Linked DNA regions of Anolis sagrei. The protein of the gene in region 1 interacts with the protein of each later gene in a pairwise test. Links are inferred from orthologs where the notes say so. Each region holds a gene or a part of one and is shown in the gene's direction. Other genes may lie near its edges.

What was found.
Region 2: the proteins of WT1 (region 1) and WTAP interact in binary tests that used the Homo sapiens proteins (3 or more experiments, as listed by UniProt). The link is inferred for Anolis sagrei from reciprocal best matches to the Homo sapiens genes WT1 and WTAP.
Region 3: the proteins of WT1 (region 1) and HMBOX1 interact in binary tests that used the Homo sapiens proteins (3 or more experiments, as listed by UniProt). The link is inferred for Anolis sagrei from reciprocal best matches to the Homo sapiens genes WT1 and HMBOX1.

What each region holds. Positions count from the first base shown.
Region 1 is NC_090021.1:257,605,237-257,615,690, forward strand, and holds the start of WT1 (Wilms tumor protein), read left to right. Parts: upstream 1-6,345; 5' UTR 6,346-6,741; coding exon 6,742-7,174; intron 7,175-10,454. UniProt on the Homo sapiens protein: Transcription factor that plays an important role in cellular development and cell survival. Recognizes and binds to the DNA sequence 5'-GCG(T/G)GGGCG-3'. Regulates the expression of numerous target genes, including EPO.
Region 2 is NC_090021.1:68,269,235-68,279,699, forward strand, and holds the start of WTAP (pre-mRNA-splicing regulator WTAP), read left to right. Parts: upstream 1-6,651; 5' UTR 6,652-6,897; intron 6,898-7,055; exon of another isoform or gene 7,056-7,325; intron 7,326-10,247; 5' UTR 10,248-10,255; coding exon 10,256-10,285; intron 10,286-10,377; coding exon 10,378-10,433; intron 10,434-10,465. UniProt on the Homo sapiens protein: Associated component of the WMM complex, a complex that mediates N6-methyladenosine (m6A) methylation of RNAs, a modification that plays a role in the efficiency of mRNA splicing and RNA processing.
Region 3 is NC_090021.1:8,089,912-8,100,272, forward strand, and holds the start of HMBOX1 (homeobox-containing protein 1), read left to right. Parts: upstream 1-6,547; 5' UTR 6,548-6,703; intron 6,704-10,170; exon of another isoform or gene 10,171-10,262; intron 10,263-10,361. Other genes in the region: INTS9 (integrator complex subunit 9), read right to left, coding at 6,232-6,240. UniProt on the Homo sapiens protein: Binds directly to 5'-TTAGGG-3' repeats in telomeric DNA. Associates with the telomerase complex at sites of active telomere processing and positively regulates telomere elongation.

The sequences.
Region 1 (10,454 bases):
GAACCAATCTGGTGAAGAAAGCCTTGGGTCACAAACTATTTGAAGGCACAACATGAAAGATTTGATTTCAGAAGAAGGAAGTGGGGTTGCTATAAATCGACAGGACACTTGAAGGCACCTATACAGATAGAAAATAATCCATCTCCTTCCTTAATTGGGAACTTTGAATCCAGCTGTTCATTACAACGATATGGCTTGAATGAATCAAAGGGATGAACGCCACACAAGAGTGAGATCGGTCTTTTCTGGTGGTCTCAAAACCGCCGGGAAGAAATCGGGTGGTTACACCTTTCCTTCGCCACACAAACCAATCGCCTTTTCCTCGATGAGAAAGACCGATTTCCCGAAACCGGATTGACGCGGGAGGCAGTGGTTGAGCACCAAAGCATCTTCCTCATTCGGATTTTAAAAATAATCCTAGAAAATAGATGTTTTTGTTGTATCGGTTCGAGGTCTTCCTCTGGACAACCTCTTTTGCTCTAGAACAATAGAGTGTCAGCAGTTCCAGACCTTCCATACTGGCCCAGAGTGGATCTACGTGTAGCATTGATGAAGTTTCACTCCACTTTATCTGTCACGGCTCAGTGCTATGGAATCATGGAAGAGTCACAGAGTGCTGGTGCCTCGCCAAACTACAACGGCCAGGATTCCATAGTACCGAGCCATGGCAGTTAAAACTGTATTAATTCTACAGTGTAGATGTGCAGGAATAGAACTAGGGGCAACCTCTGAAAATGCCTGCCATAGATGTAGGCGAAACGTCAGGAGAGAATGCTTCTGGAAGATGGCCATACAGCCTGGAAAACTCACAGCAACCCATTTTGTTCTTTGCCTCAAGATGAAATATGTCTCTGGTCTTCTATGTCAGATGGAGTTGTTCCCCCCCCCCCCCCCCAAAAATCTTTCCCCTTTCTCGTTTCCCATTGAAGCGAAGCGCCTCTCTTTGGAGGAAAAGAGGCCCGATTTGGCACTCTTTCCTTTTGACCTGGGAAAAATAATCTCACCTGTTGATAACATGGAGTGGTGGTTTGATACTGCGAGGACGACAGTGTTATTGCTTTAGGGGAGTTTTTACTTTAGGGGAGATGCGTAAGCGGCTGAGGGGGAAAAGGAAGGGGCCTGAGGCTGTGAGGAATGGTGGGAGTTAGAGTCCAAAACACCTGGAGGGCCCGAGTTTGCCCATACCTGGTGTAGATGCATCCGTGGACACTATAAACCCATCAGCCGAATTAAAATTTCAGGGCAGTACAATATCTCACATATGCTTAAAACAAGCAAAGGAAAAATGACTACCAAACATTCCGCGTGCATAAACTGTCACTGGTGTTCTTTTTTGGGGGGGAGAGGGAACATTTCTCCATGAATTGTGGATGTTATTGTGGTGATAAGGTCATCCTGAAATTGTAGATGCTGCCCTTTTGATGTACCAAGGAACCCGGTCCCCAAGAGAGTGCTCTGTTAACGAGGGGTCTTTAATACTCGCTGAAAAATTGCAAGTGACACCAGAAGAGTGATTTGCAACCTTTTGCTTCCTCTCCTGTAACATACACCAGTAAGTTTATGGCACTGGGATTTTCTTCCCCCTGCTCGGAGCTGTCATCGGAGCCAGATGCTAGAAACAGCCCAGCCTGCCATCTTCAGGCTCGCAATAGTCACAAGTGGGACTCACCCACTTCCACGGGCCTTTTCACAGGAAAATGTGTGGGTGAATGCCAAACTTGTCGCCATCCACATCTACGCTGTGGAATTGATGCAGTTTGACACCACTTTAACTGCTATGACTCTTTGGAATCCTGGGTTTGTACTTTTTTTGTCAGGAGCTACTTGAGAAACTGCAAGTCTCTCCTGGTGTAAGAGAATTGGCCGTCTGCAAGGATGTTGCCCAGGGCAGGCATGTAGCCGGGGGGGGGGGGGCTCGGGGGGCTTCAGCCCCCCCCCCCCCCGAAATTCTCATGGTGGTTCGCGAAAAGGCCTTACTGGTGCATTATTTAAACTGTTATGTTTATTCATATCATGATCTGATCACCATACTCAATATATCCCATATGCATGGGGGTATTGGGGTAATGATACAAAACGTTTGCTAGGTAGACCCTCTTTCACTCAGACTCAGCCCCCCCCCAAAACTCAGCCATCCCCCGAAACCCCCCTTGACATTTTTTAGCCCCCCCCCCCCCCCGAAACGAAATCCTGGCTACGGGCCTGGCCCAGGGGATGACCAGATGTTTTGATGTTTTACCATTCTTGTTGGAGGCTTCTCTCATGTCCCCGCATGGGAAGCTGGAACTGACAGATGGAGCTCATCCGCACTCTCCCTGGATTCAAACTTCTGACGCACAAGGGCAACTGGGGCTCCAGAATTCTTCTGCTAAGGATCTTGTAAAAATGTGCTGTCGAAGGCTTTCATGGCTGGAATCACTGGTTTCTGTAAGTTTTCCGGGCTGTATGTCCATGTTCTAGAAGCATTCTCTCCTGACATTTCGCCTGCACCTGTGGCAGACATCCTCAGATCTTGTGAGGTTTGTTGAAAACTAGGCTGGATTTTCCACGGATATATAAACTCCACTTGCCTAGTTTTCAACAGACCTCTCAACCTCTAATGATGTCTGCCATAGATGCAGGCGAAACGTCAGGAGAGAATGCTTCTGGAACATAGTCATACAGCCCTGGAAAATTCACAGCAATCCTGATCGTGTAAAACTACAACTCCCAGGATTCCATAGCATCCAGGCATGGCAGTTAAAGTGGTGTCCAAATGCATTCATACAACAGTGGAAATGCACCCAGGGTCTGTTTGCCACAACGGTTTACTCTGAGGAAAGTTTCATAACTATGATTTTTTTAAAAGGGATGGATGTGGCCCAGATGTTTGTTTTTTTTTTTGTTTTTTTTTTGCTAGATCGGGAAATCTGGAGCAGAAAAATACACATGTCAGAAGAAAATTAAATAATTTTTATCGCGTCGGAAGGGACTTGGGAAACTAGAAGTCGCTTCTGGTGTGAAATAATTAGCCCTCTGCAGGGACGTTGACCAGGGAACGCCCGGATGTTTTACCATCTTGTGGGAAGCTTCTCTCATGTCCCTGCATGAGAAGCTGGAACTGACAGACAGGAACTCACCCCGCTCCCCGGATTCGAACAGCCGACCCCGACCTTTAGTTCAGCAGTTCTGCTGGCACAAAGGTTTACCCTCTATGTGGGTGAGAAACAAATAAGCAGGAGCTGGCATAAATACATCTCAATGAGCTCTAGATAGGAGGTAATCTCATTTACTGGACACTTTCCTTCCTTCCTTCCTTCCTTCCTTCCTTCCTCCCTCTTTTTAAAATTTCTTCCTTCAGATAACTCAAGTACAGCCAACCTAAAATGAATGTTGGTTCAGGCACGTTTAAATAATTGAATTCAACCCCTTTCCCCATTGTCCGGCATTTGAGCCTCTCCTTTCCATCGAGGAATTTGCAGTAAACTGTTGTCTACATTTGAACCACCCCACCTAAAGGCTCTCTCTGCCCACTATTTCCCAGTTTCTTGTATTTACTACTCATCACACTAGAGAGTGAATCCACTTTAAATCGGTTTCTGTTCCTGCAAAATTCTGGGTTTTGTTGTTTAGTGAGGCTGTTAAAGGCCTCCCTAAACTACAAACCCAGAATTCTGCTAGAGGCAGAAACCAGATTTAAAGCAGATTCATTCTCTAGTGCGATGAGGCCATAGAAGCGTTCTTGCAACCTTGGGCTCATCACGTTAGAACTGAGGCAGTTTGGCTTCATTTGAACTGCCATGGGGCTCAATGCTATGGGGCCACGGGGAGTTGAAAAGTTAATGGCCATGTTCTAGAAGCATTCTCTCCTGACATTTCGCCTGCATCTGTGGCAAGCATCCTCAGAGGTTGTGAGGTTCTTGGGCTATAACAGCCCGAAAAACCTACAACAACCCAGTGATTCTGGCCATGAAAGCCTTCGACAATACATTGAACTGCGTTAACTCTACAATGTAGATGCATTCCCTAGAGCGGGGCTTACAATGTTTAGAGCCTTTGAGTTCTTATCCTCCAAAAAAGTATTTGACTTTCTCAAATAACGTCTTCTATGGTTTAAAATTCCGAATGGTAGGCAATATCACACATGTAAAACCACGAATTCAATACTTTTGCACTCAGACGTTGCAGAGACTTCCTTGGCAAGATTTGTTCAGAAGGGCCGAGAGAGTGTGACTTGCCCAAGGCCACTCGGTGGGTTTCCAAAGTTGAAGACGTTAACCCAGACCTCCCAGAGTCCTCATTCAGATCCGCGCCAAATCTCAGCCCGCCCTTTTTTTTCTTGTTAGGAGCGACTTGAGAAACTGCAAGTCGCTTCTGGTGTGTGAGAATTGGCCGTCTGCAAGGACATTGCCCAGGGGACGCCCGGATGTTTTACCATCCTTGTGGGAAGCTTCTCTCATGTCCCCGCATGGGGAGCTGGAGCTGACAGAGGGAGCTCATCCGTGCTCTCCACAGATTCGAACCTCTGACCTGTCAGTCTTCAGTCCTGTCAGCACAAGAGTTGAACCCATTGCTCCGGAAGTGGCTTGAATCCCGATTGTTATTTTCCATCCCCTGAAAGTTATAGTTGTTTGGTGAAGAACACTAAGGAAAATCCCTCCAATTCAACGCTGTTCAAAGCATTCTACGAGGCTCTTGTTGCCACGGGTGGACGGAATGGGGAAAAGGCTCCCTGGCATTCGTAAAAAGGGACTTTCCCCACTGCGGGCTCTGGGCGAAATTAATTGAAGCTCAATCCTTTGAGCAACATATGAGTCCCACCAGCTCCTAAAATACTTATTCCGCAGTTTATAGAGATGGGATCCACATTGGCAGAACAGTGAAGCGCTTCACTGAAAGCGGGGTCTTCTTATTTTTTACTTTGAAAGGATGGGATTTGGGAAGAGGCCCCAGTGCCTACCCCTCTGAGGTAGAAGGTAAAAAGAACGGAGTCTTAATGTATGCAGCTCAGGTTGGACGCGGACAATCCAATTTGATGAAGCAATCTTGATCAGTACGACTGTCCGGATTTCCACCTGTGGTTGGACATGCAAAGTAGCCTTGGGTGCCTTCCCAAGAGGCATTTCCCCCGTCTACAAGATTTAACTCACCCTCCACCGAGGAAACCCCATTCCCACACTCCTGTCCTCCCTTTCCTACACTAAACCTTCGGAGTCCATGGCCCCGTCTACAAAGCCAGATCAATACCAGATTATCGGCGTGTACTGGAATATATGGCAGTATGACTAATACCATCCAGTGCAAAGCGGATGATCTGGATTTTCTCTGGCAGTGTACTAGGGTTGAATGAAAAGTAATGCCTCCAACCTTCGTAACTCCTCAACAGATGGCAGTACTGGAATGCGTCAGGTACTGGCTCGTTCAGTAGACTCTCCCCTACAGTTCCATTTTGGCGGGAAGCCTTAGCATTGAACGGTTGTGTTGTTAAAGTGCAAAGTATGGAACCTGCGCCAAGGTCTGTCAATACGACTTAAGTAGTCATTGAATTATTGACAGCACAAGGTGTCACCCCAAAGAAGATTAATCAGAGAATGCAAGCTGTTTATGGTGATTGTGTTGATGTGAGTACTGTGCGTCATTAGGCGAGTAAGTTTAAAGATGTTGAGGTGACACTTTCTGCTGTCAAGACTGCACGTTGCTTAAGTCACATTTACCGACCATAACAATCAACACTAAGGCTTCCTGCCAAAATGGAACTGTATAGGAGAGTCTACTGAACAAGCCAGTACCTGCCGCATACAAGTACTGCCATCTGTTGAGGAGTTACGAAGGCGGAGGCATTACTTTTCATTCATTCAGCCCTCTTAGATGGGTTATTTATCCTCCCCCTCAGCAGCCTCCGAAGCCTGAGATCAGACATCATCAAACTGCGGCCCTCCACCTCTTTGGGCCTCCAACTCCCAAAAACCCTAACGAGTTTGTTCAGTGGTCAGGAATTCTGGGAGCTGAAGGCCCAAACAGCTGGAGGGCCGCAGTTTGAGGATGCCTGCCTGAGACTGTCTCTTCTCAGCAGGCGAGGCAGTGGCAGCCTTAGCCTAGGCTTCGTTTGGGAATCCCACCCCAATTCCGAAGGGGAATTCCGAGCGGGAGAGACGTGTGTGTGTGTGGGGGGGGGGGGGGGGAATCGGTGGATTTGGAGAGTGCTGCGTCCCGTGTTGAACACCCTCGGCTTCCTGAGTCCCCGGGAGAGAAAGTGGCGCGGGGAGAGCGTGGTGTCCCGTGGCCGGGTTGCGGCCCTTGAGCTGGAGGGGAGGCCGTGTCACCGCCCACGCGCGTAGGAGGGGGGAGGGGGGAAGAGAGCGTGCCTGGGCCTGGCTCCTCCCCCGCCTCACTTGGCGGAGTTTTGGGGACTCGGAGGGCAAAGCCGGCGCGGCGAGGAGAAGCCACTCTCCTGCTGCCTCCCGAGCACGGAGCTTCCCTGCCTCCCTCCCTGCCTGCCTTGCTTGCTTCCTTCCTTCCTTCGGGGCCCAAAGGGCGACCCTGGAGGCCAACCTCGCCCTGGCGCTGGCAGGGCTGGACCCGGGGGCTGGGCTGCCCGTCCCGAAGGGGCTCCCGAGCAGCGCCGCCACCTCCTCCTCCTCTTCCTCAACTTGGTGCCTCCCTCCGGAGCCCCTCAGCGCCTGGGGCAAGCCTTCCTCCTCTTCCTCCTCCTGCGGCGGAGAGTGGTTCCCTGCGCGGCGCAAAGCGGGCTCGGCGGAGGCCATGGGTTCCGACGTGCGCGACCTCAACGCGCTTTTGCCTCCTCCCCCGGGCAACGGGGGCTGCCCCATGCCGGCGCAGTGGGGCCCCGTGCTGGACTTCCCCTCGGGCGCCGCTTACGGCTCGCTGGCCGGCCCCCCTCCGCCGCCCCATCCTCCGCCGCCCCCCTCAGCCTTCATCAAGCAGGAGCCCAGCTGGAGCGCCTCGGACCCCCACGAGGAGCAGTGCCTCAGCGCCTTCACCGTCCACTTCTCGGGACAGTTCACGGGCACAGCCGGCGCCTGTCGCTATGGGGCTTACGGGGCGCCCCCGCCCCCTCCGCCGCCGCCGCCGCCCCCGCCCTCCAGCCAGGCGCCCCCCGCCCAGGCGCGCCTCTTCCCCCAGGGCCCCTACCTGCCCAGCTGCCTCGAGGGACAACAGGCCCTCCGCAACCAAGGTAAGTGGGGCTAAAATCCTATCTGATCTTGGAAGCTCAGCAGGGCCGACCTTGGTTGGTAGTTGGATGGGTAGCCACTGAGTTGTGAACAAGATAGGTTCAGTAGCAGGCATGAGCAAGCTGGTGCCTTCCAGGAGTTTTGGACTTCAACTCCCACCATTCCTCACAGCCTCAGGCCCTTTCCTTTTCGCTTATGCGGCTGAGGGGGAAAGGGCCTGAGGCTTTTAGGAATGGTGGGAGTTGAAGTCCAAAATACCAGGAGCGCCCAAGTTTGCCCATGCCTGTTCTATAAGCTTGTTCTTAACTTGGATTTGTATATAAGTCGGAACAGGAACAGTTTTTAAGCGTAACTCCAGCCAAATATATATGTTTTGCTCTCTGTGCCTCTGTTCACCAGAGTTCACTGCACTTTCTGTCCCTATGACAACTGGGTTTTTTGGAGGGGGAAATGGCTTGTTGACTGCTCCGTGCAGTTATGCTGGCCACATGACCTTGGAGGTGTCTACGGACAATGCCTCTCTTCACTTCACTTTCTGTCCCTGTGACAATTGGGTTTTGCAAAAAATGGCTTGTTGTGGAAACAAGGATTGGTGAGAAAGCTTCAGCAGGGAATTTCCCTTCCTCTACCACTTCATCACACCAGAGAAAAAAATCAATTTATAATCCGGTTCCTGCCTCCTGCAGAATTCTGGGGTTTGTAGTTTAGGGAGGCTGTTAAAGGCCCCTCCCTAAACTACAAACTCCAGAATTCTACAGGAGGCAGAAACCGGATTTTAAGTGGATTTCTTCTCTAGATTTCTCATCACACTCGAGAAAAAAAAATCAGTCGCCTTCTCAACTCTGAGTAGTTTGTAAGTCGGGTGTTTGTAACTGTAGGCTGTATTTCAGGGAAATCCTCGGGGTCGCCATAAATGGGCAGGCAACTGGTAGGCACACACGCCCGGCAGGATCCATGAAGCCAATGGGTTGCGTCAGCTTTGGCATAATAAGTGGTCTTATTATCCATTCACTCCAACTGGGAGGAGGGATGGGATTTTGCCCAGATCCTCTCTGATTTTGGAAGCTAAGCAGGGGCGGCCCTGGTTAATACTTAGAGGGGAGATCGCCAATTAAAACCAGGCGAGAATAATAATAAAACTTTATTTATACCCTGCCCCATCTCCCAACAAGGGACTCGGAGCGGAGAAGGCACTAACAAATCCATCTGTGACATGTCTTTTGAAATTCATGGAATCACCATCCTCCCAAATCTGCTAAAGACTATCAGTAGTAGAAAAGGAGAGGTGGAGAGGCGACTTAAAGGTGCATCCTCAAACGCAGATTATTATTATTATTATCATCATCATTATTTATCTCCCCCAAGGGGACTCAAAGCGGCTTAACAGCGGATGAGCTCCCTCTGTCAGCTCCAGCTCCCCATGTGGGGACACGGGAGAAGCCTCCCACAAAGATGGTAAAACATCAAAACATCTGGGCATCCCCTGGGTAGTCCTTGCAGACAGCCATTTCTCTCATACCAGAAGTCATTTGCAGTTTCTCAAGTAGCTCCTGACCCCGGGGGGGGGGGGGGGGATTAAACAGAAGCGGAAGAATGGTTTCAAACTACAGGAAAGGAGAGTCCCCTGAATATGAGGAAGAACCCCGGGAGTGTCGTGGAGGCTCCTTCTTTGGAGGCTTTGAAACAGAGGCTGGATGGCCATCTGTCGGGGTGTTTTGAATGCGATTTTCCTGCTTCTTGCCAAGGGGTTGGACTGGATGGCCCATGAGGTCTCTTCCAATTCTAGGATTCTATGTTTCTAGTTTGAACCCAGAGGTTACATTTCGGTCTTCATTTAATTGGGAGGAGCGAGTGGATTCAGCCCCCAGTGTTTATGGGTACCCCCCATGCCCCACCAATTAAAAATAAATTTAAAAATACTAGTTGTGTAGCTTCGAGGGACAGGCACAAGTGAGAAGGTTTCCACCCCTCAATGAGGATCCTCCAGTACCACATTTCTAGCATCATAGAAACACCAGGGCGGGTTGGGGTGAGCTCCCGCCTGTCAGCTCCAGCTTCCCATACGGGACATGAAAGAAGCCTCCCACAGAATGGTAAAGCATCCGGTTGTGCTCTGAGCAACTTATTTGCAGACGGCCAATTTTCTCACGCTAGAAGCGTCTTGCAGTTTCTCAAAGTCGTGTCAATAAAAGCATTTAGGAATACCGTTCAGGCATGCAGAGAAAAGGGCCCGCAAAATGACTCTGAAAACGCGAAGACAGCAAACCACAACAGAGTTCTAGGTGTCAGTGATGTTAAGTGTCTCTCGAAATCTGAGGAATGAAGGAAAACTTCAGGCGGGGGATTAATTCAGGGGAAAATGTCCTTAGGGAACGGGTTGCTGGAGGTGGGCATTTCCCCTCTCCAGCCTGGGGAACTCTCTCCCTCCACCATCCTCTTCCACCAGATTAATAGACAGCAAGGGCTAGGATCATAAAACCTTCCCTTTGGATGAGATCATCCCCGATCTGAAATGTCCCTTGAAGGCTCCTAAGCACGCACAAGGGTTGTGTCAGGCAAAAACTGCCTCAGAAACTCAAACACAGGGGAACTCCAGACAAGAAACAATCAGGAACAGTTGGCCACCTCTCAACAAAGGATTCCCCCAGGCAGGAACAAGTCACACCTAAAAACTGTCAGGTCATCAAAAGTTAATCAAGGTGGGCAATTGAAACATTCACACCTACCGCCAACAGACAACAGTTCTTTCCCCCACCCTGAACTTTCCGCAGATCTATAAACCCAATTTTCCTAGTTTCAAACAGACCTCACAATCTCCGAGGATGCCTGCCATAGATGCAGGCGAAACATCAGGAGACAATGCTTCTTTTATTTATTTATTTATTTATTTATTTACTATATTTGTATACCGCCCTTCTCGGCCCTTAGGCGACTCAGGGCGGTTTACAATGGCAACGATTCGAGGCCCCAAAACACCATAAAACATTTAAAAAAAACATTAACACATAATATTAAACCATAGCAAGAATAGCAGAACATAGCCATACAGTCCGGAAAAACCTAAAACAATCCCCAAACTGCATATCTCAAAGCAAAACCGAAAACAAACCCTGCACTAAATCTTTTAGACCTTTTTTAAAATCAAGGGCTTTAACAGTTGTGAAAACAACTGAGGTGTATATACTAGCAGTACTTGACCCTTTCGCAAAGGGAACCAGGCTAAAACAACGATGGGTGTAGCATCTACATTGCCCCTGGACATCACTTCCACCACCACGACTC
Region 2 (10,465 bases), about 190 Mb from region 1:
GGACCAGCCCACGCCAGAGCTCCCTGTCGGCCGTCACCACCCCCAGCTCCTTCAAGGTCAGTCCAGTCACTTCAAGGATGCCATCCATCCATCTTGCCCTTGGTCGGCCCCTCTTCCTTTTGCCTTCCACTTTCCCCAGCATAATTGTCTTTTCTAGGCTTTGCTGTCTCCTCATGATGTGGCCAAAGTACTTCAGCCTTGTCTCTAATATCCTTCCCTCCAATGAGCAGTCGGGCTTTATTTCCTGGAGGATGGACTGGTTGGATCTTCTCGCAGTCCAAGGCACTCTCAGGACTTTCCTCCAGCACCACAGTTCAAAAGCATCTATCTTCCTTCGCTCAGCCTTCCCTAAGGTCCAGCTCTCACATCCGTAGGTTACTACAGGGAATACCATGGCTTTGACTAGGCGGATCTTTGTTGCCAGTGTGATGTCTCTACTCTTTACGATTTTATCGAGACTGGACATTGCTCTCCTCCCAAGAAGTAAGCATCATCTGATTTCCTGGCCACAGTCTGCATCTGCAGTAATCTTTGAACCTAGAAATACAAAGTCTGTCATGGCCTCCACATTTTCTCCCTCTATTTTCCAGTTGTCAATCATTCTTGTTGCCATAATCTTGGTTTTTTTGATGTTTAGCTGCAACCCAGCTTTTACGCTTTCTTCTTTCACCTTAATTAGAAGGCTCCTCAGCTCCTCCTCGCTTTCGGCCATCAGAGTGGTGTCATCTGCATATCTGAGGTTGTTAATGTTTCTTCCAGCAATTTTCACCCCAGCTTTGCATTCATCAAGCCTCGCACATCGCATGATGTGTTCTGCATACAAGTTAAAAAGGTTGGGTGAGAGTATGCAGCCTTGCCGTACGCCTTTCCCAATCTTGAACCAGTCGGTTGTTCAGTGGTCAGTTCTTACTGTTGCCACTTGGTCCTTGTACATATTCCTCAGGAGAGAGACAAGGTGGCTTGGTATGCCCATCCCACCAAGAACGTGCCACAATTTATTATGATCCACCCAGTCAAAGGCTTTAGAATAGTCAATAAAGCAGAAATAGATGTTTTTCTGAAACTCCCTGCCTTTCTCCATTATCCAGCGGATATTGGCAATCTGGTCTCTCGTTCCTCTGCCTTTTCTAAACCCAGCTTGAACATCTGGCAACTCTCGCTCCATGTATTGCTGGAGTCTTCCTTGCAGGATCTTGAGCATTACCTTACTGGCATGAGAAATAAGGGCCACTGTACGGAATTTTGAGCAGTCCTTCGCATTTCCCTTTTTTGGTATGGGGATATAAGTTGATTTTTTCCAGTCTGATGGCCATTCTTGTGTTTTCCATATTTGCTGGCATATGGCATGCATCACCTTGACAGCATCATCTTTTAAAATTTTAAACAGTTCAGCTGGGATCCCGTCGTCTCCTGCTGCCTTGTTGTTAGCAATGCTTCTTAAGGACCATTCAACCTCACTCTTCAGGATGTCTGGTTCTAATTCATTCACCACACCATCAAAACTATCCTCGATATTATTATCCTTCCTATACAGATCTTCTGAATAGTCTCGCCACCTTCTCTTGATCTCTTCAGCTTCTGTTAGGTCCCTGCCATCTTTGTTTCTTATCATACCAATTTTTGCCTGAAATTTACTTCCAATGTTTCTAATTTTCTGGAAGAGGTCTCTTGTCCTTCTTATTCTGTTGTCTTCTTCCACTTCCATGCATTGCTTATTTAAAAATAGTTCCTTATCTCTTCTGGCTAACCTCTGGAATTGCACATTTAACTGGGTATATCTCCCCTTATCACTGTTTCCTTTTGCTTTCCTCCTTTCTTGGGCTACTTCCAGTGTCTCAGCAGACAACCATTTTGCCTTCTTGGTTTTCTTTTTCTTTGGGACATACTTTGTTGCCGCCTCCTGAACAATGTCACGGACTTCTGTCCATAGTTCTTCTGGGACTCTGTTTACTAAATCTAGTCCTTCAAATCTGTTCTTCACTTCCACTGTATATTCGCTAGGAATGTTAGTGAGATCATATCTAACTGGTCTGTGTATTTTCCCTGCTCTCTTTAGTTTTATTCTAAACTGAGGAATAAGAAGTTCGTGATCTGAGCTACAGTCAGCCCCAGGTCTTGTTTTCACCGACTGGATGGATGTCCGCCACCTTTGGCTGCAAAGGATGTAATCAATCTGATTTCGGTGTTGACCATCTGGTGAGGTCCATGTATAAAGCCGTCTTTTAGGTTGTTGGAAGAGAGTATTCGTTATACACAAAGGATGTAATCAATCTGATTTCGGTGTTGACTATCTGGTGAGGTCCATGTATAAAGCCGTCTTTTAGGTTGTTGGAAGAGAGTATTCGTTATACACAGCGAGTTTTCCTGGCAAAATTCTATCAGCCTGCGCCCCGCTTCATTTTGTTCTCCCAGACCATGCTTGCCTGTGATCCCAGTTGTCATTTGACTTCCCACCTTGGCATTCCAGTCTCCTGTAATGAAAATAATGTCTCTTTTTGGTGTATTATCCAGTAGGTCCTGCAGATCCTCATAGAACTGATCTACTTCTGCTTCTTCAGCAGCTGTGGTTGGGGCGTATATTTGGATCAATGTAATGTTGAAAGGCTTTCCTTGCACTCGAATTGAGATCATTCTGTCATTTTTTGGGTTGTATCCAAACACTGCTTTAGCTAATTTCTTATTAATTATGAAGGCTACTCCATTTCTTCGGTGTTCCTCTTGTCCACAGTAGTAGATCTGGTGGTCATCTGATGTGAAGTGGCCCATTCCAGTCCATTTCAGTTCGCTGACCCCCAAAATGTCTATCTTTAGTCTTGACATCTCACCAATAACAACATCCAATTTGCCCTGGCTCATAGATCTTACATTCCAGGATCCTATGGTGTGCTGATCTTTAGCGCATCGGATTCGTCGTTCACCTCCAGTACCGTCGGCGCTAGCCTTCCTTTCGGCTTTGAGCTAGCTGCGTCGTCACATCTGAGGCTAGTTGAACTTATCCTCTGCTCCTCCCCAGCAGCATTTTGACCGTCCCGTCTTGGGTGGCCCTTCACGGTTTCGCTCATGACATCATTGAGGTGCTCAAGCTCCAGCGCCACGATCCTTTGCTGGAGATATATTATATTACATTATATTATATTACATTATATTATATGGTTAGCATAGCATAAGAGACAAGGTGGAACTGTCCCCTGGGCCCCCCTCTCTTCACTCTGGCCCAGAGCGGCAGTTGGTGCTTGGGGGAGGGGTCACCAACAGGATGGAACTGTCCCCTGCCCACCCACTCTTCAATCCGAAAGACAGTTGCATATGTCAAGTAGGAAATTTAGGTACCGTTTTATGCGGGGAGGCTAATTTAACTAATTTACAACACCATAAAACCTTCCAGCAGTATGTGCAGGAATGAGGAAGTACTCCATAAAGGATTCAGTGTCACAAGTGGATGGTGAAGCGGCAGCTCCCCGCTGTGGCCAGAATCGAGCATACCCTCATGAAGCCAGAAAGCTGGAATGTTAAACTGCTTCTGTGTCTGTCTATATAGCTTTGTGCCTAAATGGCACTGAAAGTTTGCCACGTATGTGTGCATACGGGACTCTGGGGTGTATGGCCACACAATAAACAGCTTTTTTGCAGTTTTAAGATCCAACTTCCGTGGTGTCCTTCCAAGCCCTCTCCAGTGGAAAGGGGACTCCTGCATTTCGGATTTGGATTTAAGGAGTATTTTGGATCTCTGCCCCTTCATCCCCACTATGCAGAAAAGAAATATTAGGAGGCTGCCATATATAATTTTGGTAGATGAACCCCCTACAGTGTGCCTGCTGTCATTGATGCCGCAGTAGACACTGGGGTTGAGCTGGCTTCTGGCTTTATTACAGTGTTCAGTCTTCACGTGTCGAATGCTGAAGAGGTATCCTTGGGATTATAAAGCTAGCATAGCCATTCATGATTCTGGCATTGGAAAGAGTATTCTGAGTGCCACAGTCTAAAATGGAAACTCTCTCAAGTTAAATTGCTGGGCATGTTTGGTCTGCAGAAGAGAATGTTGAAAAAAGACGTTATTGCCATGTTTAAATAAGTGAAAAGATGTCATAAAGAAGAGAGAGCTGGCTTGTTTTCTGCTGTCTTGGAAACTAGGACTAGGAGCAGGAAATGACAGGAAAGGAGATTCCACTTGAACATAAGGAAGAACTTCCTGACTGTGAGAGATGTTCAACTGCTTTGGGAGACAGTGGTCGGGCATCCGGACAGTGTGGCCGGTCCAGTGGAGTTGATGGTGGAGGACTGTCACTTCATTGCTGGTGGTCTTTGCTTCTTCCAGCACGCTGACGTTTGTCCACTTGTCTTCCAAAGAGATTTGCAGGATTTTTCGGAGCCAATGCTGATGGAATTGTTCCAGGAGTTGCATGTGATATCTGTAGATAGTCCATGTCTCACAGGCATATAGCAGGGTTGGGAGGACAATAGCTTTATAAACAAGCCCCTTGGTATCCCTACGGATGTCCTGGTCCTCAAACACTCTAGGCTTCATTCGGAAAAATGCTGCACTCGCAGAGCTCAGGAAAGTGTTGTATTTCAGTATCAATGTTGACTTTTGTGGAGAGGTAGCTGCCAAGGTAGCAGAAATGGTCAACATTTTCTAATGTTACGCCATTAAGCTGTATTTCTGGCATTGGAGAGGGATTGGCCAGTAACTGCTGGAAGAGCACTTTGGTTTTCTCGATGTTCAATGACAGGCCAAGCTTCTCGTATGCTTCTGCGAAGGTGTTTAGAGTGGCTTGTAGATCTTCTTCTGAATGCACAGATGACGTTGTCATCAGCATACTGGAGTTCTATAACAGATGTTGTAACCTTGGTTTTGGCTTTCAGGCTGCTAAGGTATTAGATTAGAATAGTTTTGATTAGGAAATGTGTGTGGGTAATCATGCTGTCACTTTCTCTTCTTTCTTTCAATGTTGATTAAATGCAACGGCAACATGTTAGGACAGGCTTGCCTCAACAGTACTTTCTGTTGTGAAATTTAGTTTGCTGAGCAAACAGGCTTTTGACAAGCTACTGTTTCTCTCCTTGAGCTCTATTTCTTCAGTCTGAGATAATTCCCACATTATTGACCACAGATAATTAAAAATTTACTCATAAATAAATGCATAGTAGTCATGATAAACTTACATCGCTTCTGTAGATTATGATTAACTGCCAAATTAAGGTGAAGTGCTTGTGTCATCAAGTGAAACATTTAGAGTAGTTAGTAAATCTACAACCAGGAATACTTCTGAACTTTGTTGCTTATTCATTCAGTTGCTTCCAACTCTTTGTGACTTCATGGGTCAGCTGTTGCCACCCGCAGCTCCCTCAAGGTCAAGCCAGTCACTTCAAGGATACTCTCCATCCACCTTACCCTTGGTCGGCCCCTCTTCCTCTTTCCTTCCATTTTCCCCAGAGTCATACTCTTCTCCAAGCTTTCCTGTCTTCTCGTTATGTGCCCAATGTCCTTCATCTTTGCCTCTAATATCCTTCCCTTCAGTGAGCAGCAGGACATTATTTCCTGGAATATGGACTGGTTTGATCTTGCTGTCCAAGGCACTCTCAGCATTTTCCTCCAACACCACAGTTCAAAAGCGTCTATCTTCCTTCACTCAGCTTTCCTTGTGGTCCAGCTCTTGCACCCATAGGTTACTATGTGGAATACCACTGCTTTAACTATGTGGATCTTCATTGCCAATGTGATGTCGAGATTGGTCATTGCTCTCCTCCCAAGAAGTAAACATCTTCTGATTTCCTGGCTGCAGTCTGCAGTAATCTTCACTCCTAGAAATACAAAGTCTGTCACTGCCTCCATGTTTGCTTGTTATCAATCAGCCATAATCTTGGGGTTTTTTTTGTTTGTTTAACTGCAACCCAGCTTTTGCACTTTGTTCTTTCACCTTGGTTATAAGCAAAATGTTAAAGCAATGTGAACAAAATGTTAATACCAAGAAACCACCACTTTGTGAGCACTACATAGGTAATCAGGAATGGATTAAGAATGCCTTTGGAAATCAAGCCCTATGAAATTTAGGGTGTTGGGTATGTTATGCTTTAAGAAAAGAAGGCCAAGAAAATACTTGATAATCGGGTTGTTGTAGGTTTTTCCGGGCTCTATGGCCATGTTCTAGAGGCATTTTCTCCTGAGGTTTCGCCTGCATCTATGGCAAGCATCCTTGATAATCATTTTTTAAATATTTGAAAGAATATCACATATTTTCTTCTACTCTAGAGACTAGGGCCACTTCCAAACAGCTATGGCCTAAACATTAGGAAGCACTTCCTAATTGCGAGATCTGTTCAGCAGTGGAACTCCCTGCGTCTGAGTATGGTGGAGGCTCCTTCTTTGGAGGCTTTTAAACAGAGGCTTTGAATGTGATTTTCCTGCTTCTTGGCAGGGGCCTGGATCGAATGGCCCACGAGGTCTCTTCCAACTCAATGGTTCTGATTTTAAACCCGGTACTGCATGCACTATGAATCCAGGCAACAGCCCTTCTCCGGCAGCCAAAAGATTCCTCCCAGGGCAGACGGGACTGATATCCCTCCGCGCTTCTGGTGTTTACTCCTGCAGGTGGCCAGATGGCCCGTTGCGGATCCTTCCGCCGCTTCCCTCAGCGCCCCAGCATGCTTTGCGAGTGCGCACTCTGGCGGGCGCGAGGAGGGAAGCAAGAGGCGCGCATCACGCCTTTCCCCCGGGGCTCCCCCCTCCCCCTCTGCAAATCTTATTTACTTCCCCTTCTCAGTGCCGAGCGCAAGAGGGAGTCAAAGGCCTTGACTCAAACACTGTTAGGACGCAGGGCGGGGGAAGGGGAGAGGAGGGCGGCGGCCTGGAAGAGCGCGAGACGAAGGACTCCCGTCCGTTGGTGGCTGGCTGGGCCGGTAAGTGCGGAGGAGGAGGTGGCGCGAGGCGGCGCGCGGGCGGGGCTGGGGAGGGGAGGGGGGAGTAGCGCGCGCAGGCAGAGGGAGCGAAGGGGCGGGGCCAGGCCCGCTTTGAGGGCTGCCGGCGGTTCCTGCTTTTTGATTGGACGAGGCGCGGAAGGGGCGAGGCGGCTCCTCTCGTTGCGCTCTCGCCGGCGCCATTTTGTAGCGCAGCGGAGGAGCCCCAAATATAAGAACGGGCGGGAAGCGCGTGCGGTGCTGCAGCCCCCCCTCTTCCTCCCCCCCCCAACCGGGAGGGTGAGAAGAAGCCTTGCCTCGAGGCTTCCGGCTCATTGATGCGACAGAGAAACCCTGCCTCAGGGGAAGTCGGTTGAGGGGGAGACGACGAGTGAGGACGAGGACGCCTTCGCGGCGCCGCCTCCACTGAGGTGAGGAAGGGGGGAATGAAGGCCCGACGCTTCAGGGAGGAAAAGACGACCGTTTCGCAAGATGGAGGCTGGGGAGAGGGGGGGGGGGGGCTCTGCTCTGGCGCTCCTGCGGCGTCGCCCACCCTCCTCTTTGGAGGGCCCGAGGCCGCCACGCCCGGAAGCGTTTCTTCCGCTTCCCGCAAAACACAGGCTTGTTTACTAGCGCGATAGGGATGGAGGGGAAAGGGCCTTACGCCTCGGCCTTGCCATCGACATCCAAAGAACGCCAGTTACCTTTAAAAAAGCCTATACGAACAAGCCTTTTGCGAGAATCTCTTGGTGCCACGATTTGGACCCACGCAGCGCCTGAGTTTTATGCTTCTGCGAATAAAGGCCGTGTGGATGGCTTATCTGGGAATCAAGAGTTACCCTCGTTTGCCAGTTTTCTTTAAAATAGTGATCTTGCTGTGTGCTTACTCAGGCAAAGGCCCGAATGGCCGTATTTTATTAGCCAGAAAGGAAATGACAGCTTGGGTTGTGTTCAGACGTTCATTTAAAGATGGGACCCATTTAATCTTTCCCCCACTGACATCCTTTGCCCGACCAAGTTTCAAGCAGGAGGCTATTATTGGGATACTAAATCCAGTGTTCATATTATGATTACGCGACTGAGGGGAAAAAAGGAAAGGGCCAGAGGCTGTTAGGAATTGTGGGGGTTGAATTTCAACAAAACACCCGGAGGGCCCAAGTTTGCCCATGCCCTGGTCTAATATCTAAATAGTAATAGCTGCATTGCCAGCAAATAATGCATAAAAATAGTATTTAAAGAAACCCAGGGTGGTCTTTAGGCTTTCTTTCAGACTAAGCAATTTTCATTGTAATTTATTTACTTACTTGACTTGTATACTGCCTTTCTCACCCCAGGGAGGGACTCAAAGTGGTTTCCAACTTATTTATGGCAAAATTGAATGCCTCACATACATATGAAACCTAACCTAAAACAACAATAACATGTAACTATTGATTTGGTCATAAATATGTAACCACATTTAAACATTAAAATGTGGAGTTAAAAACATATTAATATAAATGGTAAAATCACATAATCCAAAAATCATGGTCCAAGGCCGTTTCAAATATCAGGTGTACACAATCCCTGATCATTTCTTGACATTTACAGATAAATTATGTTTCAGATTCCAGGTTAGTATATGCTATGTTTATCTGACAAGACATGCAGCCTGCAGTTTAAAGTCTCTACCTACCATAACTGAAAATATTTCTTCAGTGGGCAGCCCTAAATGTAATGCTTGTGGCAGCTTGCACTCACATTAAAGGACTAGTGCTTACATATTAATACAAATATATAATACAAGTCCAGCCATTCATATATAGAACTACCTGTGCCTTGATGCTGCACCTATACAGACCAATGGTATTAGTTTACGATACACCTGAATGAACAAATATGCATTTATGTAATGTAGCATTTTAATACTGCCAAGACACCATGCCTAGGATTGTTGTGTTGCTTGGAGAGGGATGCTAAGCGTAGATCAGATTTTTGGGTATGGATTTTTTTAAAAATAAGAATAGTATATTGAAAAAGCAGTCTAGTCTCAATACAGTATTTTTGCACTCAACAAGTTGCAGTGTTCGTTGGACCTGTGAGATTGACATATGTGGCTTAATAGCATCAGATAAGTAGAGACCACATACACTTCAGTTAGCTCACTTATCAGCAATGTAACACTGACAACCAAGTTTTGTTAGTCAATGTAATAAAAAGGGGTTAATAAAATATTATTTCTGCACTAAATGACTACTTTTGCATTCAGAGATAGTAGGCTTTCAAAGTTATATCCAGTTGTGCCTGTCCACAACCAGGAAAGATGCTGCTTAAAAGAGAAGGTTTCCCTTCTCTTTTATGTACCATATATATCTACTTCAGAGAATCTTCTATTCGTTGTTGCCTTGCCTCACATGCCAAACAGAAGTAGAGTAATATAGGGTGGTTTTAATTTACTATAAACAAAGGTAGGCTTCCACAAAGCTACCGCACAAGCAACATTCTGCAATTTAGAGATCTCTTTTAGGAATAACCAGTCTTTACTTGAATACAAGACTTTTGAAAGTATAGTGTTTAGATAAAAAATATTACTGGCCTTTTGTGGACAAGTAATCAGATTCTATTAACAAAATTGGAAGTGGATCTAATTTCCCATTCCACTGTAGCATTCTTCCCTCCCTCATCTTGAACATCCTTAAAACATTTTCTAAAGAACTGGGAAAACTTTGGATGTGATTTCCCTGAATCGCAGTAGGATGTATTCATTTCTGCATATGCAGTTGGATAATAGATAATTAATATATACTAAGGAATACTTTGGGCAGCAAAAAACAAAATAAAATTTATTGGATATGGAAATGTATTCTCAATCTCATATATTGGATGGGCCAAAAGTCTCGAAGGACCTTCAGTATTTAATAACTTGTTTATTTTTGTTACCATACATACCATCATATACAGTATGCTTATAGACAAATGTTTAAAGAGTACAGAATTTTAAAAGAATCCTTTAGGTTCATGTGGATCAGTGGTTCTCAACCTGTGGGTCCCCAGGTGTTTTGGCCTACAAATCCCAGAAATCCCAGCCAGTTTGCCAGCTGTTAGGATTTCTTGGAGTTGAAGGCCAAAACATCTGGGGACCCACAGGCTGAGAACCACTGATGTAGACCTTCAAATTATTTATTTAAATTTAACCTAAACACTTGAAATGTGCTGGGAAACAAGCTCTCACCCTCAACCCTCTTATATGTACATTGGTTATTTACAATAAGTTATAGAGTAGTGGGAGTGAAGTTTTAATTTTTAATGTGGTGTGCAGATGTTTACTATCTTTGTAAAAAGACCAAGTAATGCTAGTGTCTCCTTTTTCACAGAATCCACAATGACTAACGAAGAACCACTTCCAAAGAAGGTAATTACAGTTTTTAGACATATGTGTGCCTGTTCATCTCTTCATAAAATATCAGGGGGAAAGTATTGAAAGTTATTGTTTTTGTTCTTTAGGTTCGCCTCAGTGAAACAGACTTCAAGGTTCTCCCTAGAGAGGAGTTGATCTTAAGGTAAAGTAATGGGTGAAACAGTACTTTTCTTA
Region 3 (10,361 bases), about 250 Mb from region 1:
TTGTAGGTTTTTTCGAGCTATATGGCCATGTTCTAGAGGCATTCTCTCCTTACGTTTCGCCTGCATCTATGGCAAGCATCCTCAGAGGTTCTCGCCATAGATGTAGGCGAAACACCAACCCCCTGCCGAGAAGCAGGAAAATTGCATTCAAAGCACCACTGACAGATGGCCATCCAACCTCTGCTTTAAAGCCTTCAAAGAAGGAGCCCCCACCACATTCCGGGGCAGAGAGTTCCACTGTTGAACAGCTCACACAGTCAGGAAGTTCTTCCTAATATTCAGATGGAATCTCCTTTCTTGTCATTTGAAGCCATTGTTCCATTGCGTCCTAGTTTCCAGGGCAGCAGAAAAAAAGCTTGCTCCCTCCTCCCTGTGGCTTCCTCCGCCATATTTATACATGGCTATCATATCTCCTCTCAGCCTTCTCTTCTTCAGGCTAAACATGCCCAGCTCCTTAAGCCTCTCCTCATAGGGCTTGTTCTCCAGACCCTTGATCATTTTAGTCGCCCTCCTCTGGACACATTCCAGCTTGTCAATATCTCTCTTCAATTGTGGTGCCCAGAATTGGACACAGTATTCCAGATGTGGTCTGAACAAGGCAGAATAGAGAGGTAGCATGACTTCCCTGGATTTAGACACTATACTCCTATTGATGCGGGTCAAAATCCCATTGGCTTTATTTTGCTGCCACATCACAGTGTTGGCTCATGTTTAACTTGTTGTCCATGAAGACTTCAAGATCTTTTTTTCATAAATAAATCAAGAAGAGGCTTTTTTTCTCTTTTATTGCTTTCTTTCACTCTTTTTCTCTGCACCTGTTTGTTTGTATTTTTGTACTTTTCAATATAAAAATTAATGTTTAAAAATCTCCATAAGCATGAGTGTTCATTTAGAGCCTTTCAGTTGGCAGGCGCTTGGGGATCCCCTTAAGAAAAGAGGCATGGTCACGCAACCATTTAAACTATTGATGCTCCTACAGCCCTTGCAATTTTGCTAAGTGGGAAAACATTACCCACCATGAAAAACATAAAGGACCGAGGAAGAAGAATGCCAGGTCCGAGTTTCTCCAGCACTTACTGGAGAAACTTCAGAGATTCTCATTATACCAGTATATTTAATGGTAAAGCAATTAAGGTGTGGTGTGGATGAAAGAGAAAACCCTGCAATACAAAGAGGGTGAGAGTGAAGTTAAGGAAAGTTTTCCCACATATAGAAATATACCGCTCCTGGATGCTATCTGTTTATGATGAGGCTGTAGAAAAGGAGACAGAGTTATGCAGACCTCCAAATATTCTTGGACTGTAACTACTTGTTATAGTCTAAGCTGGCTAGGGCTCTTGGAACCTCAAGAGTAGTCATGGGCCCAGTATTTGTCTCATTTGTTTATTTCATGTTTTTGTTTCGTACCTTTGCCACCAATAGGCTGAAAATATTCTTTTTCGGACCTTGGATGGAAAAGCTCATTTGGAAAGGCGCTTGTTTTTGGGATAGGTGCTTGAAATTAAGACTCATCCCACCAAATGGGGAAGGAGTTGCAAAATTAAAAACAGAAATATAAAGGGAGATATGTGTGTGTGTGAATCATCTCTTCCTCCCACATTTTATTATTATATTATTATACTTACCTTATTTATTTATTTATTTATTTATTATCATCTCTTCAACGGTCTGGAGAACAAGCCCTATGAGGAGCGGCTTAAGGAGCTGGGCATGTTTAGCCTGAAGAAGAGAATGCTGAGAGGAGATATGATAGCCATGTATAAATATGTGAGAGGAAGTCACAGGGAGGAGGAGGGAGCAAGCTTGTTTCCTGCTTCAAACTACAAGAGAGGAGATTCCATCTGAACATGAGGAAGAACTTCCTGACTGTGAGAGCCATTCAGCAGTGGAACTCTCTGCCCCGGAGTGTGGTGGAGGCTCCTTCTTTGGAAGCTTTTAAACAGAGGCTGGCTGGCCATCTGTCAGGGGTGATTTGAATGCAATATTCCTGCTTCTTGGGAGAATGGGGTTGGACTGGATGGCCCAGGAGGTCTCTTCCAACTCTTTGATTCTATTATTCTATGGTTGTTAATGTTTCTTCCAGTAATTTTCATCCCGCCTTGCATTCCTCAAGCCCCGCACATGTGTTCTGTATACAAGCTGAATGGGTTGGGGGAGAGTATACAACCCTGCCGTACACCTTTCCCAATCTTGAACCAGTCTCCTGTTCCGTGGTCAGTTCTGACTGTTGCTCCTTGGTCCTTGTACAGATTCCTCAGGAGAGAGACAAGGGGGCTTGGGATGCCCATCCCACCAAGAACTTGCCACAATTTATTATGATCCACACAGTCAAAGGCTTTAGAATAGTCAATGAAGCAGAAGTAGATGTTTTTCTGAAACTCCCCGCCTTTCTCCATTATCCAGCGGATATTGGCAATCTGGTCTCTCGTTCCTCTGCCTTTTCTAAACCCAGCTTGAACGTCTGGCCACTCTCGCTCCATGTATTGCTGGAGTCTTCCTTGCAGGATCTTGAGCATTACCTTACTGGCATGAGAAATAAGGGCCACTGTGCGGAAGTTTGAGCAGTCTTTCACATTTCCCTTTTTTTGGTATGGGGATATAAGTTGATTTTTTCCAGTCTGATGGCCATTCTTGTGTTTTCCATATTTGCTGGCAAATGGCATGCATCACCTTGACAGCATCATCTTTCAAGATTTTAAACAGTTCAGCTGGGATCCCGTCGTCTCCTGCTGTTTTTGGGATAGGTGCTTGAAATTATAACTCATCCCACCAAAAGGGGCAGGAGTTGCAAAATTAAAAACAGAAATATAAAGGGAGGTGTGTGTGTGTGCGAATCATCTCTTCCTCCCACATTTTATTATTATATTATTATATTGACCTTATTTATTTATTATCATCTCTTCCTCCCATATTTTATTATTTTTATTATTTTACTGACACAAAAACAGTATGTCACAGCAAACTGGATTTCGTATCACAAAATCACAAGTCAAACATTTCCCAAGCGTCTGGGATTTATTTATTTATTTATTTACTTTGCTTCTATACCGCTGTATCTCAAGCCCGAAGGCGACTCACAGCGGTTCACAAACAGTAAAAACAGTAGAAACAGCAGTGGTGCCATGCAACATATAACAATTGACTTAACACATTATCCATAAATTACCAATAAGCAATTACAATGCACAATTATTACGAAAAACAACCGTACCCAATCTTCTCATCATCCAAGCGTAGTCCAGGTTCGTCGTCCATTGTTCCATTCCTATGTTCCATTACCAGATTGCACTAAATTACTCAAACGCCTGCACAAACATCCAGGTCTTCACCTTTTTGCGGAATACCATTAGAGATGGTGCTAGTCTAATGTCCGTAGGAAGGGCGTTCCACAGCCGAGGAGCCACCACCGAGAAGGCCCTATCTCTCGTCCCCGTCAGCCGAGCTTGAGAAGCAGGCGGGATCGAGAGCAGGGTCTCCCCGGAAGATCTCAAAGTCCTGGTGGGTTCATAGGCAGAGATGCGGTCAGATAGGTAGCTTGGGCCAGAACCGTTTAGGGCTTTAAAGGCCAACGCCAGCACTTTGAATTCAGCCCGGTAGCAGATCGGTAGCCAGTGGAGTTGGCGCAACAGGGGGGTTGTATGCTCCCTGCGCTCCGCTCCTGTTAAAATCATGGCTGCCGAGCGTTGGACTAGTTGGAGTTTCCGAGCTGTCTTCAAAGGCAACCCCACATAGAGAGCGTTGCAGTAGTCTAAACGGGATGTAACCAGAGCCAAGTCAGACTTCCCAAGGTATGGGTGCAGCTGGCGCACAAGCTTTAGCTGTGCAAATGCTCCCCTGGTCACTGCCGAAACCTGGGGTTCCAGGCTCAGCGATGAGTCCAGGGTCACACCCAAGCTGTGAACCTGCGTCTTCAGGGGGAGTGCGGCCCCATCCAACACAGGCTGTAACCCTATGCCCTGTTCGGCCTTGCGACTGACCAGGAGGACCTCTGTCTTGTCTGGATTCAATTTCAATTTGTTCGCCCTCATCCAGACCGTCACAGCGGCCAAGCACCGGTTCAGGACCTGGACAGCCTCCTTAGTAGCAGGTGGAAAGGAGTGACAGAGTTGGACATCATCCGCGTACAGATGACACCGTACCCCGAAACTCCGGATGATCTCCCCCAGCGGCTTCATGTAGATGTTAAACAACATGGGAGACAATATTGAGCCCTGAGGAACCCCACAAGACAATGGTTGTGGGGTTGAACAGGTGTCCCCCAACAACACCTTCTGAGATCGACCCTCCAGGAATGACCGGAGCCACTGCAAAACAGTACCTCCAAGACCCATCCCCGCGAGGCGTCCCAGAGGGATACCGTGGTCGACGGTATCGAAGGCCGCTGAGAGGTCCAGCAGCACCAACAGGGACACACTCCCCCTGTCGAGCTCCCGGCGCAGATCATCCACTAAGGCGACCAAGACTGTGTCAGTTCCATGCCCCGGCCTAAAGCCAGACTGTGCCGGGTCTAGATAATCCGTGTCTACCAAGAATACTTGGAGTTGTGAGGCCACCACACGTTCCAAGACTTTGCCCAAGAAGGGGAGATTGGAAACTGGCCGATAGTTGTCGAATTTAGTGGGGTCCAGTGATGGTTTCTTCAACAGCGGTTTTATTATAGCTTGTTTTAAGCTCGCTGGAATCTTGCCTTCCCGAAGGGAAGCGTTAACCACCACCTTAACCCACTCAGCCAATCCCCCTCTGGCCTCCTTTAGAAGCCAGGATGGGCAGGGGTCCAGGATGCATGTGGTTGGCCTCATTCCTCCAAGTATCTTGTCCACATCCTCGGGTTTCACCAATTGAAATGAATCCATCAAAACTGGACAAGCAGGTGCTCATGTTACATCCTCAGAGACTGCCATTAACATGGTATCCAGACCAGAACGGATCAAAGCGACTTTGTCTGCAAAGAACTAAGCAAAAGCTACACAGCGAGAAGTCGAATCGTCAGGGTTCCCACCTTGAGTGGTGGGATTTAAAAGGCCTCTGACAATTCGGAACAGCTCAGCCGGATGGTTCTTTGCAGACGCAATAGTAGCCGCAAAGAAGGCCTTCTTTGCGGCTTTTATTGCCGCGGCATATGCCCTTAAAAAGGACACAAACCGTGTTCGATTTGGCTCACTCGGATCCGAACGCCACACACTCTCTAGTTCCCTCTTCCTTCGCTTCATCGCTGCCAGCTCCTCGGTGAACCAGGGATTGTGTGATGTATTTTCGAATTGATGCGTATAGATCCAAGTCAGGTGGCCTTTTGTAGTTGACAGGTCGTGATTTTGTCAATGTTTATTGTTTCCAAATGCTGGCTGAGATCTTTTGGCACAGCACCCAGTGTGCCAATGACCACTGGGATCACCTGTACTGGTTTTCGCCAGAGCCCTTGCCATTCAATTTTGAGGTCCTGATCACGGCTGAGTTTTCCTGTTTTTCATTGTTTTTCCTCAATGTGACTGTCTCCTGGTAGGGTGACATCAATAACCCAACAGTTTGAGGGACTGTGATCTGGCCCTCTGTTTAAAAAGTTCGAGGACCCCTGCCCTAAATGGTTCTGGTCCAATTTACCTGTACGAATGCATCTTCCCTTATGAACCATCTAGGACTTTAAGATCGTCTGGGGATGCCCTGCTCCGGGTTCTGCCTTCATCAGACGAAGAAGACTAAGCTTTCTACAGGAGCTCTTGGTATTACGTCCTGCACGAAAGGCTTCTCTGTGTGGACTGAATCCCAAATGACTCCTATTCCCTTTGTTGTTCATTCGTTCAGTCGTCTCCGACTCTTCGTGACCTCATGGACCAGCCCACGCCAGAGCTCCCTGTCGGCCATTACCACCCCCAGCTCCCTCAAGGTCAGTCCAGTCACTTCAAGGATGCCATCCATCCATCTTGCCCTTGGTCGGCCCCTCTTCCTTTTGCCTTCCACTTTCCCCAGCATAATTCCCTACAAAACCCAAAAAGGGGGCAGGGCCAGGGAACCTAACTATAATTGACAGGTGGCTTGCCCTATGATTGCAGCCAAAAGAAGCCACCTATCTGCAGAGTCCCTGAAACTTAGGACTACAACAAACATTCTGTGCAAAGCAAACAAAATTGGAGCTCCTGGTACAACTGTACCTGCACAGTTGTACTGGATCACACATCGCACAATTATTATTATTATTACTATTTAAAACTTCCTCCAAAGTCCTCCCAGACTCACCAGCTTCATGCTTCACCCCAGGCTCTGTTTGTGGCATGCAGTCTCTTCCTTCCTGTTTCCCAACCGGAAGTGCTTCCCGAAGCATCCTGGGAAGTGTAGTCCTTCTCTCAGCCTCCTAATGATTCAGGAGAATGAAGTCATGGGCGGCCATCTTGTCCTGCCAGCAGCAGAGCACGCCGGGAAGCGTAGTCTCTACTCCCTCCTCCCCGCCTCCCTCCTCCAACCGCCGTCTAATCAGCGTCGGCGCAAGGCATGCCGGGATGGGTAGTTCCCAGCGGCGACTTGGCGCCTGCACCCTGGGGGAGGCGGAACTACAAGTCCCAGGGCCTCCCCGCGGCGGCAGGTGGGAGCTTGGATGTTGATATCAACATGGCGCTTGTCAGGCAGACAAAGGCAGTCAGGCTGGTCTGATTGAGGGCAGGGAAGCTTCCCCTCAACTTCTCCTCTTCAGGGCTCCAGAAGAAGGCTCCAGGTGAGGCCCATCTTATGCTAGGGCAGAAAATCAAGAGTTGTTTCTGAAAGGAGATTTTGGAGGAAAAGGGAAAGAAACAGGAGAGATTTGGAAGGAAGAAAGTGGCTCCTTCCCAAAGTGACTTTGTGGGGAAATGTCAACAGAGTTTTGGGGAGGAAGGACAAGAAGAGGTTGGTTTTCCTCATTCTCTGAGGAAGAGAGGCTTCCTCTTTGTGGGATATAGATATAGAGAGAGAGTTTAATCTATCTATACTATATACACATCCCCTTTGCAGGGGAAGGTTTGTTTTCTTCCTCTCTGAGGTAGAAATACTTCTTTTGAACTAGCTGTTTTGTGGGATATATATTTATAGTATAATATGTCTATATCTATTATATATAAATCATATATCTCTATCTATATCCCCTTTGCAAGAGAAAGAGATAGTTCTTTTGAAGTAGCTATTTTGTTGGATATAAATTTATAGTATAATATGTCTATATCTATATATATATATATATATAGAGAGAGAGAGAGAGAGAGGGGGGGAACCATATATCTCTATCTATATCCCCTTTGAAGGGGAAGGTTTGTTTGCTTCCTCACTGAGGAAGAGATACTTCATTTGAACTAGCTATTTTGCTGGATATATATTTATAGTATAATATATTTATATCTATAATATAGATAGATAGAGATATATAACCAAGGGAAGGTTTGTTTGCTTCCTCACTGAGGAATAGATACTTCTTTTGAACTAGCTATTTTGCTGGATATGTATTTATAGTATAATATATTTATATCTATAATATAGATAGAGATATATAACCAAGGGAAGGGTTGTTTTCTTCCTCACAGAAATAGAGAGACTTATTTTGGACTTGCAATTTTGTGTGATCTATATCCATCTATCTATATAGTATACTGTCTCTCTATGGATATATATAGTATATTATATGTATATCTATCTATATCTATATATCTCCCCTTTGCAGGGGAAGGTTTGTTTGCTTCCTCACTGAGGAATAGATACTTCTTTTGAACTAGCTGTTTTGTGGGATATAGTATAGTATATTTATGCTAACCCTTCCATTGGGAAAATAGCTTATTATATTTATCTATCTATCAATATATCCCCTTTACATGGGAAGGTTTGTGTTCTTCCTCTCTGAAGAAGGAGACTTCTTTTGAACTAGTTGTTTTGTGGGATATAGTATAATATATCTATGCTAACCCTTCCATTGGGAAAATAGCTTAGAAAGAAGATACAGTATTATATATCTATACCTATCAATATATCCCTTTTGCACATGAAGGTTTGTTTTCTTCCTCTCTTTTGAACTAGCTGTTTTGTGGGATATAGTATAATATATTTATGCTAACCCTTCCATTGGGAAAATAGCTTAGAAAAAAGATATAGTATTATATATCTATATCTATCAATATATCCCCTTTGCATGGGAAGGTTTGTTTTCTTCCTCTCTTTTGAACTAGCTGTTTTGTGGGATATAGTATAATATATCTATGCTAACCCTTCCATTGGGAAAATAGCTTAGAAAGAAGATATAGTATAATATTCCTATATCTATATATCCCCTTTGCAGTGGAAGGTTTGTTTTCTTCATCACTGAGGTAGAGAGACTTCTTTTGGACTAGCTCTTTTGTGGGATATAGATATCTAGAGAGAGTTTAATCTATCTATAGTATATATACATCCCCTTTGCAGGGGAAGGTTTGTTTCTTCATCACTGAGGTAGAGAGACTTCTTTTGAACTAGCTGTTTTATGGGATATAGTATAATATATCTATGCTAACCCTTCCGTTGGATAAATAGCTTAGAAAGAAGATATAGTATAATATTTCTATATCTATCAATATATCCCTTTTGCACAGGAAGGTTTGTTTTCTTCATCACTGAGGTAGAGAGACTTCTTTTGGACTTGCAATTTTGTGGAATATATATCTATAGTATAATACATCTATATCTATCTGCACTGTAGTTATATATGTGTGTGTGTGTATAATACGCTCTCTCTCTCTCTCTATATATATATATAGTATATTATATCTATATCTATATATCTCCCCTTTGCTGGGGAAGGTTTGTTTGCTTCCTCACTGAGGAAGAAATACTTCCTTTGAACTAGCTATTTTGCTGTATATATATAGTATAATATATCTATATAATATATAGATATATTATACTATATATATATACAGCAATATATATATATATAGAGAGAGAGGGATAATCATATATATCTGTCTATATCCCCTTTGCAGGAGAAGGTTTGTTTGCTTCCTGACTGAGGAAGAGATACTTCTTTTGAACTAGCTATTTTGTTGGATATATATTTATAGTATATTATATCTATATCTATCTATCCATATCTATATCTCTCCCCTTTGCAGGGGAAGGTTTGTTTGCTTCTTCACTGAGGAAGAGATATTTCTTTTGAACTAGCTATTTTGCTGGATATATATTTATAGTATAATATATCTATACCTATGTAATCATATATCTTTATCTATATCCCCTTTGCAAGGGAAAGTTTGTTTCCTTCCTCACTGAGGAAGAGATACTTCTTTTGAACTAGCTATTTTGTTGGATATGTATTTATAGTATAATATATCTATATCTATAATAGACAGATAGATAGAGATATATAACCATATATCTCTATCTATATCCCCTTTGCAAGGGAAGGTTTATTTGCTTCCTCACTGAGGAATAGAAACTTCTTTTGAACTAGCTATTTTGTGGGATATGTATTTATGGTATATCTATCTATCATCTATATCTATATAATCATATCTCTATCTATATCCCCTTTGCAGGGGAAGGTTTGTTTTCTTCCTCTCTGAGAAAGGAGATGTCTTTTAAACTAGCTATTTTTTGGATATATAATATAATATAATATAAATCCACTTGCAGGGGAAGGTTTGTTTTTCTTCCTCTCTGAGAAAGGAGACTTCTTTTGAACTAGCTATTTTGTTGGATATATACATAATATAATATAAATCCACTTGCAGGGAAAGGTTTGTTCTCTTTCTCTCTGAGAATGAAGGCTTCTTTTGAACTATCCGTTTTATTTTCTGTTCTCTATATGTATTTGCAGGGAATAGAATACAAAAGGGTTATTTTCTTCCACTCTGTGGATGAGACTTCTTTTGGACTATCTATTTTGTAAGGTTTGTTCTATCTATTACGTATGCATGCATGCAATTTTTTGCAGGGGAAGTTTTAAAAGACAAGGAGGCGGCTGGCTGCCTCCCTCCTTCCCTCCCACCCTCTCTTTCCCCTTGAAATGAATGCTGTCGGGCAAAGAGATGGAGAGGAAACGTCTCTTTTGGGCGCCTGCTCAAGATCACTCTCCTTGTTGCCTCTTAACTCACTTTGAAGGCTCTTCTCCTGTACAGGAAGGAGCTGGTTTCTTTCCCTCCCACCTCCCCGCCTGCAAAATCTGACATTATTAAGTTGTGATTGCTCTTTTCTGCATCGCGCGAGACGGAAAGAGAGGGGATGGCGGTGGCTCTTCTTCTAGGTTAATTGCTCCGAAAGGGAAAACAAAAAGGAAGGTATGATCATTGTCTTGGATTCTCCCAGCCATCTGGAGAGGCTGGGCTCTTGTCGCGGATGCCCAGATAACATGAAACTCAGCCAGGGAGAGTCATCTC